Cricetulus griseus: one gene and its partners. The protein of the gene in region 1 interacts with the protein of each later gene in a biochemical or structural test. Links are inferred from orthologs where the notes say so. Each region holds a gene or a part of one and is shown on either strand. Other genes may lie near its edges.

Region 1 (7,790 bases):
CTTATTGTTTAAATTTATTTGGGGGTGGGTGGGACTAGGGAGATGGCTGAGCCTGTAAAAATGCTAGTTGCGAAAGCATGACAACCGACTTTCAATGATCCCAGACCCAGGTAAAAAGCCAGATGCGGTGGTGTGCCACTGTAATCCCAGCATGCCTCAAGTGAGATGGGAGGCAGAGGTAAGAGACTCCTAGTGCAGCAGCAGACGCAGACAGACCCCACCTAGGAGGAGGAAAGCCTATTCCTTAGACCTCAACATGAGTACCGTGGTGTGCATGTGCACACACGCACACACACACACACACACACACACACACACACACACTCACACTCACAGAAACAAACACATACTTTCTGAGTATTAGTGATTGACACCAGGGCTTCATGCGTGCTAAGCACAAACTCTACCACTCAGCTCTACTCTTCCCCTCATTTAAATTACACTCCTTCCCCGGGCCAGCACTTTCCCTCTTTTTATGCTGTTTTGTAAGCCTGGTGGGGTGGCCAACTCCTTTAATTACAGCACTGGAAGGCAGAATCAAGGATACCTCAGCATAGTGAGTTCCAGCGCAGTGAGATCTTGACTCAAATAAACAAAAAGTAAAACACTTATTTGGTGACTGTCTTGCCTCACTAGAATGTAAACATCTTAACGGTAGAATTTTTAGTTTAAAAGTCTGGCACACTGGTACTCAGTGTGCATCTGCTGAAAGCTTCTGAAGAGCAGCATTGCTGTTTAGACTGCAGGTACACTCATGGACTGCAATGGCACCACGCTACTGGCATGGAACAACAAGATGTTCTCATACCACAGCTACCACAGGTCCACTCTTATGGTGCATTATCCCCCATCCCTCTCCTGATTCCTTAAATAAGCTTATTCTCCTGAATCCCCACTCCTGCGCCCTTTCAAGATGCCTACCTACTCCAAACCTGACCTCCATAAATCCCAAGCACTCTTCACCATGCACCAGAGGGGCCCAGTCAAGTCACGTGAAATCTCCTCACTCAGACACTGCCTGGCATGACTTCTTCTCCACCAGAATTCCTCTTCTTCCTTTTACAAATGTTCTTTTTGTTTGTTTGTTTGTTTTTGTTTTTCAAGACAGGGTTTCTCTGTGTAGCTTTGGAGCCTATCCTGGCACTCACTCTGGAGACCAGGCTGGCCTGGAACTCACAGAGATCCGCCTGCCTATGCCTCCCGAGTGCTGGGATTAAAGGCGTGCGCCACCAACGCCCGGCTACAAATGTTCTTAAAAATATATTTTATTATGTGCCTTCATCTGTGGTATCCAAGGAGGTGGAGGGCCTCTTCCTAGAGCTGGAGTTACAGATGGTTGTGAGCCACCTGACATAGGTCACAGCTGGGAACAGCTGAATTCAGTTCCTCTGCAAAAGTGGTGTGTGCTAAGCCATCTCTCCAGTCCCTACATCATACGTTAATATATGTCTTTACTGTGTATGCACGGGGCAGGGCATGTGTGCCATGGCACATGTGTAGAAATCAGAGGACAACTCCCAGGAGTCAGTTCTCTGCACCCCATGGACCTGGGGCTGAATTGGGTTATAAAGCTTAGAAGCAGACACCTTTACCCACTGATCCGTCTTGCAGCCCCTCGCCATCTCTTAAATTCTATCTATGGGGCCAAGGATGTCCTTGCTTGTCATTTTAACTTACATTTATTTATCATTTATTTATTTATTTTTGGTTATTCAAGACAGGGTTTCTCTGTAGATCAGGCTGGCCTCGAACTCAGAGATCCGCCTGCCTCTGCCTTCACACTTGGCTCTTATTATTATTCTTTGATTTATGTGCATTGGTGTTTTACCTACATGTATGTCTATGTGAGAGTGTTAGATCCCCTGGAACTGGAGTTACAGATGGTTGTGAGCTGCCATGTGGGTGCTGGAAATTAAATCTGGGGCCTCTGGAAGAGCAACCAGTGCTCTTAATTACCATTTTTTATTTCTCTCTCTTCTTCCCTGAACAAAGCTATTAGTGACCAAGTCCTACATGAGAAATATCTTTGTTCCCTTTTCAGTCCAAATTCCCCATTTCAGTTTTGGGAAAATATGTCTCTCATAGCCAGGACAGAGTCATGTCTGACATAGCAAATTCTCTTTGAATGGCGGTGGCATGGTGTTATAATGGATTGAGAATTTTGTGACTGGGATCCTCTACCTAGACCAAATAAGCATAAAGGAAATTCATCAGGACAGAGATCCCAGATTCAACGGTCTGTAAGGGTTGCCCAGTCACCAGTTAGTAATCTAAGAAACACTTGATGAAATGTCCTAGTTCTAGGAAAATGAAACCAACCTGGGTTTTTTTCATTCTTGTGTTGACTGAGTTATAATTCTCATCAGCTTCTTCCTTCTGAGGCTCTATGGCTGTGGGAGAAATACGAGGGTTGATGGAAAGAAAAGCTTGCCCTGAGACTTCTAAAAATTGGCTGGGAGGCTAACTGATTTCTGTCTGGGCTAGCCTGATCTACCTACTGAGTCTCAAAAAATAATTAAAAAATTGAAAATACATAATAAAAAATTTTAAATGAATCAAAAAAAATTGTTTGGGTACCAGAATACAGGGCCACATCTACATTCCAGCCACATAATAAGGAAGTTCTTGTCTTCGTAGGATTTTTTTTTACAAAGTGACTTATGAGCAGGGATATATTTTAGTAGTGACACATGATGGAGGAGGAAGGGGGAGGAGGAGGAAAAAAGAAGGAACTAGGAGGAAGAAGAAAGAAGGAAGAAGGGGGTGAGATCAGCCAACTGGACCTGGTTACGGCAGGCCTTTAATCTCAGCATTCAAAAGGCAGGGAAAGATGGATCTCTGTGAATTTGAGGCCAGCCTGGTCTACATAGGAGGAAGAGGTGAGGGAGGGGGAGGAGGAGGCTAATTCTGATCTTCTAAGAGAAGTTTTTCTTTGTATTACATCAGTGGGTTCCCACAAGAGTGAAGGAGCCTCCTAAGAAACCCTCATCCATCTGCTCAAAGAACACACACTGGGCTTCAAGAACTGTAGCAGCAAGTAGTTTTGAATTTAGATGTAAAAATAGTAATAAAGGAATCTGAGAGGCCAGCATGTAATATATGCAAAGTACCAAGGCTTAGATGCCACAGGGCAGAGATCCTAGACCCAGACCTGCTCTGTGACCTGATATATCACTTGACTCCCCAGATACACGAGCATCAGGGCTGAATCACTGGGGATGATCTGGCTGAGGCCCTTGAAGTTCATTCACCTTTTAGCTGTGCCCGGACCTCTCTCCCCAGCTGTTTGATCTCCTCGCGCAGGTTCTGCAGGCCCTGCTTCATGCCTAAATGAGAGAAGGCCAACACTTCCAAACCACAGCCTCCACCACAAACCAAAACCAACCCCACCCCCGGCCAACATCTATATAGGACTACATCCCCCATAATCCACCGGGCTGGCGTACGTGAACCCGGGTTTCGCTTACTCTCCTCGGGAAGGGGCGTGGCCAGAATGGTGACCTGCTGTTTCTCCAACTCCCGGACTTTACTCTCCAGTTTGGCCATAGTTTGCCGAATTGCCTGGACCTAGAGAGGATCACCAAGGGAACTGAAGACATAAGTGGTACTGTAGTCCTCCCTACTGCTCGGTCCTCCGGGCCTTACCTTCTGGAAGAACTCGTCATCTGGGCTGCCCAGCCGGGCGGTACCTGGGTGCACCACCAGCGCGACTCGAGCCTCATCTTCGTCGTCCGAGCTGTTGTCCCCCTGCCAGGGCCGGAGTCATTGGCACCACTCGCTCGCCGCGGTTCTCGCCCCGCAGGAGCTATGGGCTTCCGGGATTTTCCTTCCTGGCCGTCAGCCACCCCTCCCGGACCCCAAACCAGGAGTCCTCAGTCCTGCGCGCCCGCCGGGCCCCAGCTCCTCACCTGCCTCAGCTCATGGGTCCTGTCGCGCATGGCGGCCCGAGCGCCCGGTCCCTGGACCTGAGCCCCGAGGGCCTCAAGGTTCTAAGTTTGGAAGTCCTGCACGAGCTCTCTCTCACTTGACACCCCCTTCCTCACCCTGCGAACCCCCAACGCCCCCACGAGCCCCCAGAGGTCCCGCCCCTTTCACCATGCACAGTCGCCGGGGAGAACCCGACCATAGGACCCCCAAAGTTCTACAGGTTGGAATTCCCTTCTCTTCCCCCCATCCTGCTCCCGCAGCCGCAGCCCCGCCCCTCGGGAGGATGACTCGGAGCATGCGCACGAGGTCTTGTCTCTTCCTCGCTAGGGGGAAAAGGCGGAGGTCGGAAGCAGTCGCGGCCGAACGGAAGCGAGGCCGCCTGGATCGAGAGCCCGTCCGCCCCCCCCCCCTTTCTACCGGAACATCTCATATTGGGACTGGAATCTAGTTGCCCAAAGGGTTGGGGATGCGTCATTTGCACGCAGTCTGAGAGCCTCGTATCTCACATCACCCCATGGCGCCCCCTCATCACGTGACAGACCTGGCCCCGCTCCGCCGGCTGCACGCCCGACAGCCGGTCACGTGTCCCGGCGCTGTCAGCGACGTCTCGGACTTCAGTCTCGCGACGTCCCCGATACCCCTGAGTCTGAGCTGTACCCCTTGCAGAAGGTGGGGAGGGGTACACCGACAGCTCTCAGCCACCTACAGAGGAGACCCTTGTAGACTTCACTTTCTGTTTTAATTTGGGGCCCTAGGGCGTGGGCGATCTGAAGACTTAAATTTGGGGGCTGTCAGTATCACGAGACCTTGAGAGTCAGAACATAATGAGATCGGAGGCTACAGCGTCAGAGGATTGCAGGGTTTTGTAGGCAGACAATCTGGGGGTGGGAAGTGACCTCAGCCAAGGTGGAACTCTTCCCCCTACACACCCTGCGTCCTCCTGGCACAGCCTCTGACAGGTGGGCGGCCTACGCCCTGTGTGAGCACTGCAGTCCCGCTGAGCTCGCCACCTTCAGATTTCAGAGCAGCTCAGACTGAGAGGAATGTATTGTTACCTCCGCAGCCCTGAAGTCCTAGCATGACTTGCTTTTCTTTTACGGAGTCCCCAGCACCAAATTCAGAGCTTGCTACATAATAGGCCCTCACAGCCTTGATCCGAATAGGAGCCTTTCATGTATCTGAAACTAAAGCCTGTGGCTTCTCTCACCGTCCCATTTCCCCAGGTTTGTCTCTCTGGACATATTTATTGGGCACATACTATAGAGCAGATATGTTTTAGGGGCTGGTGACACATCAGAAGCCAACAGACTAAAACCCCATGCACTTGTGGGGCTGTGATGCTTTTCCCTTTAGAAACTCCTGGATTTGGAAATGAGGGGGTGAGGATAATATGGCCCTGACCACCCCGCAGAGGGATGCGGTGTTGGTGGGCTTCTCAGGAGGCCCAGCTCTGCCTAGTGTGGTCCCCTGAAAATAATGTGGAGAAAAGTGCCTACTGTGGGGCCTGACTTTCAAGGTGTCATGATGCTGTCAGCCCCCAAATGGAAGTCTTCAGTTTGTCCATGCCCCTGGGGAACCCCCCAAAACAAACCAAAACATGAATTCTGCAAGGGTATCTTTGCCTATTAACTGCTGCCTCCCTGTTCAATTGCTACTTCCCTCCTACTCATCCCCTCCCTCTGACTCTCTGTTAGTATTACAAGGGGGGGCGAGTCGGGAGGTGACCTTAGCCTGTCTCCTAGCCCTGTATGTGATCGAGAATGTCTCACTGTTTCCCTCAGAGATGCAATTTTCCCTCTTGACATCTTGGTCTGACAGTTTCTTCCTTGCTTAGGGTAAGGATTGGAGGACATCAAGAAAGGTTAGGAAAGATGTGGTAGGTCTTGTAGACTGTTAAAGCTCTTATGTGAGCTTTGCTGCTGTGAGCTTGTGAGTTCTGCCTCTCTCTCTCTCTCTCTCTCTCTCTATCTCTCTCTCTCTCTCTCTCTCTCTCTGCCTTTCAATCATACCTGCCCATTTCCCAGCCTCTTGGCCTCCAGCGGCAGTGTGGAGTTTTTGGTGCTTCTATTAAAGCATCTCAGGCTTATAATATTCACTATTATTTCATTTGTGGTCTCTGGGTGTGATCACAGGTATTAAGATGATAACTTAAGGTTTAGGACACTGGGACCTCAGTATTTTCTGACTGTCAAGGTCTCATGATGCTGACAGCCCCCAAGTGGAGTGATGTTTGCCTCCGCTGAATGCTGTGTTCCGCCTAGGCCCTTTGTAGCCTTGAGTCCCAGGTTTATATAGTGGGTCTTGGGTGTGTAAGTATTAGTAGAGTATATACTTCTTCCGTTCTGTCTGAAACTCAAGCTGTCCATGGTCCTGAGGCTAGCAGCCTGTCCTGTCCTCACTGCCTCAGGTCTGATCCTCCCAACCCCAGCACCAGATGACCTGGGCTGGGATTCCTGCTCATTCAGCTCTATGAGGCAAGTCATTTAACCTCTCTGCTTTAGTTCCCATCTGAAAAGGAAAGGAGAGCAATAGCATTAAACTCCTAGTGTTTGATAAGTATTAAATAAGAAACAAGAATAGAATGGTGCCCACTGTGGCTGTCGAGTGTGCTTGCTATTGCTAGATGGTGATGATGGTGGAGACTGTTCCACTGAGGATTTCAGTAGCCCAAAGTCTGTGCCAGAAATTCCACTCTGCCGATTGTCCAGGATCTTCCTTCCGAGCCCCACTGTGCACCAGGTGCTCAGGCAGCAGTTTTGCCAATCCTGTATATCTCTTCTGTTTCCACCAGCACCTCTCAGGCCCTATATTTTGCTTACCTCTAGAATATAAACTTTAGAGGACAGGAGTTTTCACCTGCCTTATTCACTGCTGAGTCCCCAGTATCCACAACAGTACCTGGCACATACTAACTAGCTAGTCATGAATGAATGGAATTCTTTCTTTTGCATTTAATATTTGTATAACATTTAATATATCTGTGAGGCACCAATATAAACATTTTATAATTTTAATTCATTGAGCTTGGCATGGTAACACATGCCCATAATCCCAGTACTTGAGAAGTAGCATCAGGAGGATGAGGAGTTCAAGGCCAGCTTCAATTACTTACCAACTTTGAGGCAAATGGAGGTTACATGAAACCTCGTCTGAAGAAACAAAACAAGGGCTGTGTGTGGTAGCTTAGCTGGCAGCGCACAGAGAACAAGCATGAAGTCCTGGGTTTTCCCCTAGTCCCACATAAACCAGGACAGTGATACCCATTTGTAATCCCAGCACTCAGGAAGTGGAGCCAAGAGAATCAGAAGTTCAAGATCATCCTAAATTACATAATGAGTTTGAGGTCTGCTTGGGCTACAAGAAAATCTAGGAAAAAGAAAAGCATTGCAAGCCACATGACAATTCTATGAGATAGAGGCACTGTCGCTGTCTTTCTTTTCCAGAACAGAAAACTTGAACTGATATACCCAAGGTTACATATCTAGTAAGTGCCCTTAGGATTTGAAGCCAGACCGGCTCTAGGGTCTGTCCTTAGTGTGTTGGTTTTGTTGAGTTTCTTGCTGAATACCTGTACAGCAGACAGACCTGGCCAGAGGGGGAGTGGGAAATGAACTGCCAGACAGAAGGACTCCCCCCACCCCCACCCCTGCCCTCCTTCAGATGTTTTGTTTTTGAGGTAGGTTCTGTGTATGCAAATCTGAAGCTCACTGAATAGTGGGGCTGAGTAGAGAGGTGTGGGGTTACAGAACTATGCCACCATAACTAGGGTTATGCATTGCTAGGGACTGAACCCAGGACTTTGGGCATGTGAGGTCAGCACTCTGCCAGTGAGCTACACCCTAGCCCCAGGGCCTGTGCTGTAT
Region 2 (7,551 bases), on another chromosome or scaffold:
GAACAACGGATGCCAAGAACAACGCGGTGCCTTCTGGAAGTTTCTTGAGGTTTATTCTTGTTAGAAGTTTTAAGAGTTCTCTTTCTCAGTCAAGAGAAAGCTGAAGGTGTGATAGCTCAGGCTATCAGGCTATTTCAGAGGCTGAGGGTTGGAGGATCACCTGACCTCTGGAGTGAAAAGTCAGACTTACGACATATTGAGGTCCTATTTCAACACCAACACCAGAGGAGGAAGAAAGAGTAGGGCCTAACTGTGGGTAAGAGAGAAAGGTAGAGCACTTAAATAGCACAGGTGAAGCTTAGCCCTGAGTCCATAGCCAGCAGAGCTCGAAATCAAGCTAGAGAGAGGGCCAGAGGTCTTGTAAATTTTGGAATAATGAGCCTAGAATTCATTTTATAGCCATTGAGTTACTGAAAGGTTTTTAAACCACTTGACCCAAGAATTCTTCCAGTCACCTCTAAGAGTAAAGCAAAATGCTGGCACTCTTGGGAATAAAAAAGTTTGGAGGTATGGCTGTAGAATGTGATAAACAAAACTGACCAGAGAAGAGGACTGATAAGCGCTTTTGAATTTAATAACACAGGGGAATGGTGATAGTTGACAAACACAGCAATAGTTTGGAGAAGGGAGAGAAATCAGGACAGGTTATAAAATGCTTTTGAAAACTTTGACCTTGTCAGAGAAAAGGGAAGAATGATGTGTCTCATTTGTTTTTAATTTGTTAGAATTAAGACAGGAAAAGTTGAGCACGGGAGAAAAGACTCAACTGAGAAAAACAATTGAATTTACAAAAGGCTGTATGTGATAATCTAGATAAAGATTTTGAGAGGGTTAGAACTGAATTGCTCAAACCACTGATGGGAGTTGGTGATACTCACCTTTGATTTCAGTTCTCAGGAGGCAGAAGCAATGGGATCTTTGTGAGTTTGAGGCCAGCCTGGTCTACATAGTTCCAGGTCAGCCAGAACTACATAGCAATACCTTGTCTCAAAAATCAATAAATAAAATAAAATCATGGGCTGGAGAGATAGCTGTTCTTCCAAAGGACATAAATTCAGTTTCCAACACCCACCTAGCAGTTCACAACTGTAATTCCAGTTCCAGGAGATCCACACCCTCCTGTAGCCTCCACAAACACCACAAAGATGGTACACAGATATTCATGCTGGCTAAATACCCATACATGTAAAATAAAAATAAATTTTTAAAAAATCAAACTGATAGGAGATCTAGGATAGTGGCATAAGCCTATAATCTCAGCGTCATGAGACTGGTACATAGTCATCACAGACTATAAAATAATTTTGAGGATAACATTAGCTACCTGAGACTCTGTCTCAAACAAACAAACAATAAAGCCCAGAGGACTGAGGCTGGCAAGATGGTTCATCAGGCAAAGGCAGTGGCCATCAAGTGTGAACACTTGATTTCCATTCCTGGAGCCCACAGGTTGCATGTCCTCTGACTTCTCTATAGATGTGTATGTACCAGATGGCAAGAATGGTTCTACACACACACACACACACACACACACACACACACACACACACACACACACACACAATAGATGTAAAAATAAATAACCCTAGACACTGACATGAAAAGAACATTCATGGAAAAGAGACCAACCCACAGAGTTGGGGAGGGAGAAATATTCTCAATTATAATGACGAAATGTATTGATAAGCCTGTAGGTTTAGAAACGTTAAGTTTTCTGAGAAGTCAGAGATAGATCCTCTGCTGATTAGAAAGTTGGCTGCAAGTATAAGGGAATTGAGAAGCTTGGAGGTATGGCTATAGAATGTGATAACCAAAACTGATCAGAGAAGAGGACAGATAAGCACTATAAACTGCTTGTTTACTCCCTGTAGAAATGAACTCAGCAGTTTCTGTTTTGCTCATCTGTCTCAAATCACTTGTTAAGGGCAGGGATGAAGAAAATATATGGCTGAATTCATTTAGGGTTGGGATGGTCATGGATATAATACTGTAGTTCTCAGAAAAGGGTAATTTTTGCCCTCCAGGGGACATTGGGCAGGGTCTGGAGAGTTGGGGGAGCATTATCTTAGAATGCACTAGTCAGCAACTGATAATGTTGATGTTTTAAAGTTGTGAAATCTTGATCTAGAGTTACTTTGATCCTCACCTATATTGGCTTTCCCTTGGACTATGGCTCTGAATTTACAGAGCAAAGCAGTTCTGTATCATGCATGCCTTTAAATAGAATGAGCAGTACATCAGACCTTGAATGCTTCAAGGACTTGTGATGTCACAAATACACAATTGGAAGACTCTCATAAACCTTTAGAATGAATCTGGATTCACACATAAATGAAGGTAGCTGTTTATTTTGATTTGAGGCTTTGATAGTTCCTTCCTTCCTTCCTTTCTTTCTTTCTTCCTTCCTTCCTTTCTTTTTGGGGGATATGGTTTTTCCAGACAGGGTTTCTCTGTGTAGCCTTGGCTGTCCTGGAACTCACCAGGCTGGCCTTAAAATTCACAGAGATCTGCCTGCCTCTGCTGGGATTAAAGGTGAGCACCACCACGTGTGGCTCTGATAGTTTTCTTAAATGGAAATGGTTTCAATCATATAGAAGTTGCACTGCTCATTATCAACTGCAGTGTAACTGTTTATTATAATCACTATAACAGGATCCCAAAAGAATAGGGATGCTCAAATTTTAATAATAAATTAAACATTGTGGTGATATATTATTTATGATTTATTCAAGCTTGCCTGAGGAATCAGAAAGCAAAGTCAGCCTCAAGCTACAGAGATCAGGCAGTGGTGGTACATACCTTTAATTCCAAGACTCAGGACACAAAGGCTGATAGATCTCTCTGAGTTCAAGACCACCCAGAACTACACAAGATTGAATCAATCTAAGAGTAACAGAATTTACGTCTTTAATCCCAGCACTAGAGAGGTATAAAAGATAGAAGCAGGGTCTAAAGTATTAGTCTCTAGCCACGTTGAGGACAGCATAGCAGTCTGAATGAATCTGAGGAGTAGTGAAGTTGAGAGCAGTTTGAGGATTGCCCCTTTGGTTTGAGCTGAGGTAGAGGTAAAAGCTAGTGACCGGCTGATTTACTTTTCTGATCTTCAGCTTGAAGCCTGAACCCTAGTATCAGTCATTTATTTACAGTGCTACAAAACATCCTAATTTTAACTCTAAAAACTGACATTCCAAGAAAACATCAATTGCCGGGCATTGGTGGAGCACACCTTTAATTCCAGCACTGGGGAGGCAGAGGCAGGTGGATCTCTGTGAGGTTGAGACCAGCCTGGTCTACAAGAGCTAGTTCCAGGACAGCCTCCAACGCCACAGAGAAACCCTGTCTCGAAAAACCAAAAAAAAAAAAAAAAAAAAAAAAAAAAAAAAAAAAAGGAAGGAAGGAAGAAAGAAAACATCATTTAAAGTCAAGAATTAGGGACTGGTGGAGAGATGGCTCAGAGGTTAAGAGCACTGGCTGCTCTTCCAGAGGTCCTGAGTTCAATTCCCAGCAACCACATGGTGGCTCACAACCATCTGTAATGAAATCAGGTGCCCTCTTCTGTCGCGCAGGCAGATAGAACACTGTATGCATAATAAATAAATCTTAAAAAAAGTCAAGAATTATTGTTGGACAGTAGAGGCGAACACCTGTAATCCCAGCAAATCCACCCCTCGTATTAGGGGACAGATTTCTGAGTTTTAGGCCAGGCTTGATTACATAGAGCAAATTCGAAGGCAGCAGGGATATACAGAGAAACCTTGTCTCAAAAAACAAAACGAAAATAAATAAATGCTAGGGTAAGATTTACATTTAGGCTCCAAAGCTACACAGAGAAACCCTGTCTCGAAAAAGAAAAAAAAAGATTTACATTTAGTTTTGTTTTTATTGAGACAGAGTTTCGCTTCGTAGCCCAGAAACTATGTAGCCCTGGCTAGCTTTGAACTCGCGTTGACCCTCCTCTCTCAACCTCCAGAATGTGGGGTGAGCTACCGTGTCTAACTTGGGGTCTAGGTCTATCTGTTCAAAAGTTTCACGAAGAAGGAAAAGTTTTGAAATTTAGGTAAGACAGGCGGAGGGTTTGGAAAGTAGAAGGGCGAAATGGGAAGTGAAGCGGACAGCTTTACGCAAAGGGACCTACTTCGGTTGTTCTTGGCGTTTTGAAGACCTCTTGCCCAGTGTCCGTTGTTCACTTCTTATGTTCAAATAAAGCTAGATGGTTGAAAGGGGCGGATGGGGTGGGGGGAGAGGGAGCGCGCCGGACTACGTGCGCTTGCGCGCTGGCGGCGGCGGCGGCGGCGCGGCGGCGCGGCGGCGGCGGCGGCGTCAGTGCCCGGCGGGGAGCGGGTCCCAGGCCGCCGCCGGACCGGAGGCTAAGGGGGCATCTGGGAGCTCCCTCGCCGGGCCCTCGGCGGCCTGATGGCGTAGGAAGGACGGGCAGTGAGTGTGAGTATGGAGGGCCCGGCCTGGTGGGGCGTATGGGAGGCCGAGGGTCGGATGGTGGGAGGTGGTGGGAGCTGCGCCTGCACTCAAGCAATGCCACCGTACCTCTTCTGGCCCGCGTGGTTTTAGAGTTTATGGGCGAGCGGTGCACCTGGCTTCAGGGTACACAGACTCTCTCAGGGGATTCTGCTCGCAGCCCCTCAGTCTGGACGCGTGGCTCCAGATCTTTGACCTCTGGGACGGGCCCTGACCTCTGGGCCTGGGGTCTAGGAGGACTCTCAGCCTTAGTCTGGTATTTAAAGGCTGCGGGTTTCAGGCCAGGACCCTCCCGCCTCACCAGACTGACAGTCTAGCCTCTTTTTTTTTTTTTTTTTCCCCCCTGCTTTTGAGGTCTCTGCTTATTAATGTACTAGCAACTAATGGAACGCTATGTATCTATTTAATATTTAGTAAATCTCGGTGCGTAGTTACGAAGAGATGCTTGCATCGCCTCCCACTTCAATCTGTTCAGTGTAGTCATCTTTGAGAGTAAAATGAGCCATCTTGTTGGTGAAGTTCCGAGATTTCGGTCTTGTTTTCGTTCTTTGTTTTTTAACAAATTAGAACCAGTTAAGGAAGTTCTCTTAGCAGATTAGAGCTATAGCCATCATGATGGTTTATATTGAGGTAATTCAAGACAAGATACCTTTTAATATTGAATATAAGATCCAAATCCGGTTCTAAAACCCCATGGGGGAATCACCCCCACCCCCCCAGACAGGGTTTCTCTGTAGCTTTGGGGGCTGTCTTGGAACTTGCTCAGTCTTCCAGGCTGGCCTCGAACTCATAAAGATCCCCAACGCTGCCTCCCGAGTGCTGGGATTAAAGGCCTGGCTTCCAATGGAGAATCTTAAAAATGTAATTCTCTGTTCTCAAGTTTGGCCAAGAATGAAAGAGTAGAGTAGATAATCAGATTCAACTAGGGTTTACTTAGCATCTATTATGCTAGAACTCTACATTCAGGTGTGTCACAGAAATTTAATGCAATATTATAATAGATGATTTTTTGGCAGTACTTTTCAGTTTGCTGAGATGCTGATGCTGATTTACCGTTAGTGGACTACTAAACTTCCTCTCAGGTGATAACAAAGTTCATCTTTTTCTGTTACACCAAGTTAGATGTTCTAAGTACTCCTGTTTGGAAAGTGAACTGAAGTTAACTATTGAGCCTAGAAAACAGATTTTGTTTTGTTTTTTATTTTTTAGTTAGAATCTGGCCTATATAGTCCAGACTAGCCTTGAATTTGAGATCCTGAGTTCAGTCACAGAGGGCTGGGATTACAAGTATATGCTCATCTTAGCTTTTAACTAGAGAAAGTGTCCAGATAGATTTTGAAGAGAGCTTCAAAACAGAGGAAAGGTGTGAATCGATTTCATCAAGCTAGTTCAGAAACAAATTGCTTTGATAGAAAGGAAGGTATTTTAAAAAGAAAAACGTTGATAGCTCTTATATATCCAGATGAGAACAAATTCAAGGCTAGTCTATAAGAAAAGCAAGGAGCATTGAGTGGTTCTGCGTTCCAGGATGACTTGGTGAGAACTGTACAGACTGTGTTTTATAATTGGGTTACCAAAGGGGAAGTTTAGTATTTGTGTGTCCAATGAGTGAGAACCCTAAACAGTTACACTAAAAATTTGCAGTCTGTTGCTGTTGTAATCTGAAAGAGACGTGGAAAAATAGTTTCCATGTGTATATTGGAGGACTTGTTACGTTTGTGCATTTGTTAGAATGAACCAACTCTCTGTGCTGATATTGAATGATTTCCACGATACTCTTAAGTGAAAGTAACGGTGTCAAGAAGGTATGCAATAGTGACGATTTTAAGTATATGTACATGTATATACATACATGCATGTATGCTTTGCATATAAGGACATAGAGTGTGGAAAGTAGTCAGAATCAACTGAAACTGTAGAATGTCTCTCAGGATGGAAAGTAGAAGTGAGAATTTATTGTTCAGTGGTTCCAGAGTTTAAGTTGTAAGCAACCAGAAAAAATAAAAACTCAGATTATTGTTTTTAATTTTTAAAATTTTATTTTCTGTGTATGGGTGTTTAGCCTGTATGTATGCCTGTGTACTACATTTGTGCACAGTGCCTGCAGAGGCCAGAAGAGGGCATCAGATCCCCTGGAACTGGAGTTAACACATTGTTTTGAGCCAACCATATGGGAGCTGGGAATCAAACCCAGGTCTTTTGGAAGAGTGCTGCTCTGAACTGCTAAGCTCAGCTTTCACTTGGATTTTAAAGATTGTTTTATTTATGAGGGTTTTGCCTGTGTATGTGTATATGTATGCAACATGTTCCCTGAACCCGAGGCCAGAAGAGGATTTCAGATCCCCTGAAACTAGGGTTACAGATGACTGAGCTACCATGTGGGTACTGGGAACAGATCTTAGGTCTTTTGCAAGGCCAGCCAGCATTGCTCTTAGCCTCTCCAGCCCTGTCACTTGGATTTTAATGTGTTACTAAAATTTGCTATGCTGTTTTTAGTTATTTGGTTTGTAGTGTTGGGAACTGAATGTAGTAGGGCCTCGCCTTGCTAGGCAAGTATGCTACCAGTGAGTGGACTGTATTCCCAGTTCTGTATTTTATCCCTATCCATACTACTCAATACTCAGGTTTTTGTGTGTGTGTGTGTTCTTACTGATTTTTGTTTTTTTCTTTGAGGTAGGGTTTCATGAAGCTGAGGCTGGCCTCTCATGTGTAATGAGGCAGTCTTGATCACCGTCCATCCCGCCCCCCTCCCCCAGGGTTTCTCTTTGTACCTTTGTAGACCAGACTGACTTCAAACTCACAGAGATCCGCCTGCCTCTGCCTCCTGAGTGCTGGGATGAAAGGCTGTGCGCCACCACCGCTTTTGATTTTCCAATCTTTATGTACTTCCCAAGTGCTGAAATTACAAGTGAGCACCACCATACCTGGCTTGTCTATTTTTTGTTTTAAAAACATTTGTGGACAGGAGGTGGTGACACACGCCTTTCATCCCAGCACTCAGGTGGCAGAGGCAAGTGGATCTCTGTGAGTTCCAGGACAGGCTCCAAAGCAACTGAGAAACCCTATCTCAAAAAACAA
Region 3 (7,525 bases), on another chromosome or scaffold:
TCTGAATAGCCAATGCCCTAGACATGAGGAATGTTTCACTATAAATATACAATGACCCAGGAGGAAGTAAGAGCAATCCAGTCTACTCTAATAATGCCCTGCTCACAATTTCCTGAGGATGAAATGTCTAACAGCCTCCTCTTACTTATTAGATGGAAGAGATTTCACCCATCTCTTTCATTCCTTGATCTGAGACTCAACTTCATGCTTGATCGAGAAACAATTTAGGAGAAACAAAAACATACAATTCGAGAATCCTACTTCAATCAATGGAGCTTTTATTCTTAGAATAAATTAGAGCAAACAGATTTTTTGCAAGACAGGCTGACACTACTTTCATTTTGAGAAGACATGCAAGAGAGAAGGGTTCATGTTCGCAAGATTTTGAAGGACAAAGGGCTAGTTTAAAGGGGTGCATTCCAATGCATTTATTCCACTGTGTTCCATAGTCTGAGCAAAGTTTCAACAGCGCACAACTGAGCAAGTTGGAAAGAGCTAGAGGAACGCAATCATATATACATGTATTTACATAAGAAAGTGAAAAGTGAGTTCTCTGGTTGTAGGTCATGAACTATGTTGTGATAATAATGTAGCATACAATAAAATAATTATAGCCATTAAATAGTGAGCTCCCTTCATGTTAATCTCAGCTCATGTAAAAATGTTCCAAGCTCTTGCTCTTTTTTGTGTTTTGCTTGCAACACATTGGAAAATAACACATTAATGCCAAATGGCCAGCACTCCTGGATTGGGCTATTTGCCTCCTTCTTGGTATTTAAGCATTTCCATATGAGTAGTGTCCCTAGACCAGAGAAAATCAGACACTTCCCTTCATTTAGAGTAGAAGGCTGCTTGGCTATGCTGCTGAGGCCCTGTAGGCCTGCCTCTCTGTGGAGGCCCATTTGTGCTGCAATGCAAGCTCAGTTTGTTATTTTTGAAATAACAGACTTTTTTTTTCAGTGAAGGAATCATTACTTCTTCCCACTCTTCCTGTGGTCATTCACCTTTAGCCACACTTCACCCCTAGGTGAGGAGCTGCAGCTTCAGGAATAAAGGAAAACAGCATTTGCTCCAATGCTGTAAGAGGCAGCTGGCTTTTCTCTAAGTCTTTGTAAAATTCATCTCTTTTTTTCTTTCCCTTTCATGTCATTGCATAAGCAATTTATAGTAGCATAGGGTGGGTGAATAGGCTCATTTAATCATTCTGCCAGAGAAAGCCCAAGATCTCTAGAAAAGATAATCACACATGAATTTATACATTGATAAGCAGTCACATTGAAACTGTGGCTAAAGCAGCATCTTGCTGAATAAAAACCATTAGGCTTGTTTTATTAGGTTAAGATAAATACAGTCCAGCCCATTCTTTTTCAACTCCATCTCTCCCAATGGGCAAGTTCAATTAATCCATTTATTCTTCCTGGTTGACTGCTGTTCTACCAAATTGGAATGAGTAGGTTTTATTGCAAATGCTTTTTTGATTCCATTATTGCTATCTGCCCTATTTTATCCATTTAAAAATGGTTTGGGATTCATTAAACCATGAATTACAAATGCTTTAGAAATGGATGTGCAATTCAGAGTCAGTCACATAAAAGAACTTTTATATTTACTTAATTGGACTAGATTTTTCTCTTTGTTTAAGATTTTTGCTATTTTTTCTTAGATTTTCGTGCTGGACACTAAATACAACAATTTCAAAAGATGATATGCTTGCATAAATACATATTTTTCAAAGTTATAAATATAGTTGGAGTCAGAAAAGAATTTTAGATTAGCTGTAATATATTGCAACAAAATCATTACAAATGAAGACTTTTATGTAGGTAATTCCTTCATAGATTAAGCACCACTTTGCTTACTGGGACCCACTTTTGTGACTGTTGGGAACAGGAGCTTAGAAATAGTAGGTTTCTCTGTACTATGCACTGCAGAGGTAGCCTAGGCTGGAGGGTGGTGAGGTCACCTTGATAACTAGCTAACAACTCATGCCAAAATCTCCAGTATTTTCTGATACGCTATGTTCATATTGGAAGCCAGGGAGCCATGGTTTAGGGAAAAACAATAGGAGCTAGGAATGAACATGTCAACATAGGGACCTAGTTTATGTTAATAGAATCCACTCCTTACCTCTTCAACCAGCTGCAGCATGCGACGGGTGCTTTCCAGGGACTAAGATGGAAAAACATAAACACTGTTAAAGGCACTAACAGAGCACTAGGCAAGTCAGAAATGCTTTCTTCACATGAGAAACACAAAGGTCCCTATCACACATGACTTACACTTTGCAACAGAAACACCAAATGTCTTCCCAGTTTCAATCTCTTTCTACATGATCAGATTTCCCAGAGCAATCATATGAAAGCTTATCTTTATAAAACCAAAACCATATGAGGCTGATCTTGATATCAAAGGCAAAGCAATCTGGACAAATCATTTTGTATGCTCTGGATGCCTGGAAAACTATCTCATATACTTCAAGGACTACTTTGGCCTCCCTGAACTAGGGATATTGAATTTTAAACACAAACATAAGTTTTCATGAGGAGAGATGAGTTTAACGAGTTTCCTTTAAAACTCCTTGAAACACAACTGGAAGTTGTTATCAATACAAATTAAGCTGTCGCCTTAGGGTGAAAAAAAATCAAGCAAGTTTGCAATAACTATCCCATAGGAGACAGCTGTAATTACCTTCATTTTTAGATAAGAAAAAAAGCATGAAGAAAGCTTTGAGCTTGGCAGCTGGTCCCTCAGGCACAGCATCACCACTTTGTTCTCAGTTCCTTTAACATAGCTCCACTGCAACAACCAGTGTGATTTCTCAAAACCATGCTTTCAAATAGCAAATTTATGTTGGACAAGTTTCTGCAGGAGCCTGAAGGATGTGAATTTTTGCTGCAATGGACTTAAAGTGGACTCCCTTTTGTAATAAAATAGCTATTATCAGTGATGTGTTGGCAAAATGCTCTGACTCTGGGAAAAAATATAAATACATTTATGTATCTTTGCATCTATTGTAAGGCTGTGAAACACAGAGAGCACAGAGTTGACACATGATGCAACACAGCATCCTTGGTTAGCAGTTCTGTGTAGCAGGTTGATTCTCACCCAAAACTCCTGTCAGTTTTTTTTTTTTTTGTGTGTGTGTGTGTGTGTGTGTTGTCTATCTATGACTCCTCATATGATGAACTAGTATAATTCTAACATGGTCACTGCAACTGGATAACTTCACTCATGTTCATGAATAAGAAGAACCTGAAGCAGTGACGACTTAATGTTAGAATTAGTCTCATTAGTAAAGAAGGTGATGTTTTTGTTGAAAAATAAGTTTCCAAATAATGGAGGACTTCCTCAAAATTTCTTATATTTCAAAAACATTTTTACTGTTTGAGAATGCCTTACAATGAATTTTGATCATATTCACCTCTTCCACTCTTACCCCTAGCTCCTCCCTGATCCAACCCTCCCTCCCCACCCAACTCTGTATATTATTTTCTTAATGTAATAGCTACAGACATACATAATTAAAAAGTTTTATCTAGATTATTAATATTTTCCCTTCTGTCTTAACTATAGGTAATCAACAAACAATAAAGCAAGCACAACTGATATTGTTTGCCAATGACTGGTTCTCAATAATTGCTTTTGATTTGGTTTCTGAGTGCAGTGTGGTAAACTGACTCTGCAGTTTCCATTTCTTACATACAGTGAGTGTAAATGACTCAAGGGCATAGATAGCAGAAAAAATGTGCTAAACTAGCTACAAGTAATGACTTTTGAGCTCATAATACCATTGCTTTAATTATATATATTTATTTTCAAATTATGTACTTCAATTTTAGTAATAGCCACACTTAGTAACCTTCATTACTGAGGTAACCATGGCATACTGTTAGGTATCTAAAGATAAAGTTTTTCCTAGAGGACCCTGCCCTCCCAAGTGTCTAGGAGTCCTGCCTCAGGGCTGAGATGTTAATTTGTATTTGCGCCTTATAATCAATCCTGTCTAGCCTGCAGGAATCTTAGAGAAAAAGGAAGTTCTTTTTTCACCTTAAAAAAAAAATTAGACATTGAAGAATTCTTTTCTCAAAATCTGAATTGAAACCACCCACCTTCCAGTGTTGGGCTTGCCCCCTGCCTCTCTATGCCTTACCTCATCAGCCAGCTGGTCAGCCCTCCTCTGCATCTCTTCCAGCTCATTGCGCATATCTGCGTCTTCGGCCATGGTAATGGTAGGGGGTTGCTGGGCACCTGGACCAGCAAGTCAGCAATGGATTTGGCTACAGAACCTGAGTAGAAGCATATTGGAGAATATGAGAGCTAATATGAATGACTGCATACTGGAAAGTCTAAGTGTCACACTGTCACCAGGGTTTAGATAACTTCTGAACTGGAAGCCAAGCGCAGATAAGAATCAATAGAATTGTGTCATTTCTCCAAAAAGTACTGGGAATGAGTGTTTTATCAACCCCATCACTAAAACAGTCACATATTGGTATGTTTTATGATAGCTTGGCATTGTTGTCCAGGTTGGCCTTGAGCTCACCATCTTTCTGCTTCAGCTTCTGAGTGTTTCAATTACAGGTTGTAACATGAAAAATAAATGGACCCAGAGACAGATATTGGGGTTCAACCTGAAGATCAGGGAAGCAAAGCAGTCAAGCTACCAAAGTGCTCTTACCTCTAACAAGGCTGAGGCATTCCTATTCTCAATGTGGCTGGAGAATGAATACCTGACACTGAGACCTAGTTCCTGTCTTATATACCTTCCTAATGCTGGGATTAAAGGTGTGTGATCCCAGGTGCTGGGATCATCTTTATGTGAGCTGTTTCTCTCTTTAGGACTGGATACTTCTTGTGTAGATCTGGGTCGTCTTGGACTCACAGAGATCTGTTTACCTCTTAATCTTAGTCCTATGACTAAAGGTATGTACCTCCACTTCCTAGCTTCTGGCTTCTGGGATTAAAGAAGTGTGCCTGGCTTCTATGGCTTGTGGCTGACTTTGCTTTCTGACTCCTCAGGCAAGCTTTAATAAATCATAAATAACATATCACCACAGCAGGTTCACAGGAACATAAATGGCTTCATCTAGAGTATTTTTTTAAAGACGCAAACCATACAAAGCTTGGGAATGATGTGGTGAACAATGCAGGCCATTGTTCTTATATTTTTTAATGTTATATTTATTTAGTTATATTTAACAGTTTTATTGAGAAACAGTTGACATATTTAAAAACATACACATTTAAATACAGCGCACATATCTAAATCATACAGTTGTAAAACACTCAGTAACCCACTGCTCTGAAAAAGAAAATGAGCCAGTCCATTAATCCCCCACCAAATTTCTGTATACTCTTTGTTATTCTACCTGCTATTCTCTACATCCTCCTATGTCGAGGAAGCTGTTGACCTCCCTTTTGTCACTATAGTTGGTATGTCTTAGGATTATGTATAAATGAAACACTTGGCTTTTCCACTTGGTATTATATTGAAATTTTCCCATATGATAGCACAATTGCTAGACCATTCCTATTTGTTTGTGTGTAACATCCCATTGTATTTAGAAGCATTCAGCATTGTTATTAGAGGTTGTCAAGATTGTGTGCAGGTAAACAACTGTTATTCCAAAGTGGAATGAGCCCAGGGCCTTGAAATGTGACCAGCCCACTCTGAAACACATACACATAGGAGGATCCTGATTCTTCCAGAACACACTTCTCTCTCTCTCTCTCTCTCTCTCTCTCTCTCTCTCTCTCTCTCTCTCTCTCTCTCTCTCTTTTGATTTTTCGAGACAGGGTTTCTCTGTGGCTTTGGAGGCTGCCTGGAACTAGCTCTTGTAGACCAGGCTGGTCTCAAACTCACAGAGATCCACCTGTCTCTGCCTCCCAAGTGCTGGGATTAAAGGCGCCACCACCGCCTGGCCACACTTCTCTCTTTACTTCCCATCCTTCTTCATTCTCAAGGACTCACTGAGCACACCTGACATCATTGTGTCAGGGAGACAATGATGAACAAGAAAGGTGAATTCACCACCTTCACAGAACTACATCTAATTAGGAAGAAGAAAATGAAGGAATTCTTAATTCTTAGCACAGGAGTCAGGCATCATGCCTATGAGGACATAGTTAGCCCCTCTAAGGGAGTAATGTCCCCAAAAGGACCTGAGGAAGAGTCTTAGATGTCTTTGAGGCTATGCCAACATTTTTTGGACAGCATACGTGATGAAGGCCTGGGTTTGTGACTTGCATTTGAGATGGTCAAGCATCTTTCTTCTTGGTTTTCAAAGAACATGGTCTTTGAAGAATGGTTGTATAGCTAGAATTACATTTCTAGTATTTTTGAGGAGATGGCTACATAGCTAGAGATGGCACCTAAATGGAGATGGTGTGTGTTCCAGTCAAATAGAGGACATTCAGAAGTTGATATTGAACTCACATGGTTTTCCTGTCAGCAAAATCAGGGCAACAGAGGATGATTGAGCCACAGGATAGCAGGAACTTGGGTCATTTGAATCCTCGAAGAGAGGAAAGCTGGCTGCTGGCCAGAGACACTCATGATTCCATAGTTAACAACATGAGTGATGTGACTGGATGTGTATGACACAGTCATACCACTTTCTTAGCTGCTAAGATGGAATTCCTCTGGGATGCAGAAGTGGTACATATTATTAGCACCCTGCATTAGCCAGCCTTATAAAGAAAGTCTTCTAATGGAGGGACCCTAAACAGGAAGAATGCTAGTATGAACTAGGACCTGAGTGGCTGTGGGCAAGATCATCACCTTCCCCGAGCTTTATTGCTTAAAGTTCATTTCTGAGCTTTTACATCATAGGTGTGTCAATTATAGAAAATTCTTTGTTTGCTAAGGATGCCAGGCCTTAATATACAGACAGTCTGTTTGTGTAAAATATCCTCATACCCTTTGTTAAGAGTAGCCTCATATCCTCTGTTAAGAATAGAACAAATCTAGGCTCTGGTACCTCTCCTTCCTTTAGTAATGGCTGGCATCAGACATGCTGCTGAGGAGCTAGCTGAGCACTGCTGGAAGCGGAAACCAGGGAAACCAGCAGAGTGTGGAGGTGCTGGTCTCCAAGCAGCAACTCTCCAAGGACTGCCACCAGAGAACAAGCAAGGACACACCTGACCTTGGCTGTCTTTGTAATGTGATGTTTGTTCTTTCTTGTGTCATCTTCTCCTTCAATGAGCTATTACCGGCTTTTACTCTTAGTTGGTCACTGTATTAGAAAGCAGGGTTCATGTGCTTTCAACCCTATAGTAAACTGCCATTTCCCACTCTTCTGGGCTTAGTCGTGGACGAGCTCTCTCTCTCTCTCTCTCTCTCTCTCTCTCTCTCTCTCTCTCTCTCTCTCTCTCTCTCTCTCTGTGTTTCCTTGGTGATCTTTCAAATTTGCTATTCTTAGCAGGAGAAGAACAGCTGTATGCTCCTGGCTCCAGGCTGCCAGCAACCTGCCAGGGGCTAGTTGATGGGCAGGTGGCAGGCTGGTAGAGAAGCCATGTGGTAGAT

What was found. The genes of interacting proteins can lie anywhere in the genome.
Region 2: the proteins of Stx4 (region 1) and Snap23 form a complex in vitro, tested with the Homo sapiens proteins (4 studies listed by BioGRID). The link is inferred for Cricetulus griseus from reciprocal best matches to the Homo sapiens genes STX4 and SNAP23.
Region 3: the proteins of Stx4 (region 1) and Snap25 form a complex in vitro, tested with the Homo sapiens proteins (3 studies listed by BioGRID). The link is inferred for Cricetulus griseus from reciprocal best matches to the Homo sapiens genes STX4 and SNAP25.

What each region holds. Positions count from the first base shown.
Region 1 is NC_048596.1:72,931,402-72,939,191, forward strand, and holds the start of Stx4 (syntaxin-4), read right to left. Parts: upstream 4,070-7,790; 5' UTR 3,939-4,069; coding exon 3,909-3,938; intron 3,748-3,908; coding exon 3,646-3,747; intron 3,590-3,645; exon of another isoform or gene 3,568-3,589; coding exon 3,468-3,567; intron 3,327-3,467; coding exon 3,252-3,326; intron 2,391-3,251; coding exon 2,320-2,390; intron 1-2,319. UniProt on the Homo sapiens protein: Plasma membrane t-SNARE that mediates docking of transport vesicles. Necessary for the translocation of SLC2A4 from intracellular vesicles to the plasma membrane.
Region 2 is NC_048599.1:57,909,564-57,917,114, forward strand, and holds the start of Snap23 (synaptosomal-associated protein 23), read right to left. Parts: upstream 4,223-7,551; 5' UTR 4,136-4,222; intron 1-4,135. UniProt on the Homo sapiens protein: Essential component of the high affinity receptor for the general membrane fusion machinery and an important regulator of transport vesicle docking and fusion.
Region 3 is NC_048599.1:41,903,309-41,910,833, forward strand, and holds the start of Snap25 (synaptosomal-associated protein 25), read right to left. Parts: upstream 4,223-7,525; coding exon 4,151-4,222; intron 2,170-4,150; coding exon 2,128-2,169; intron 1-2,127.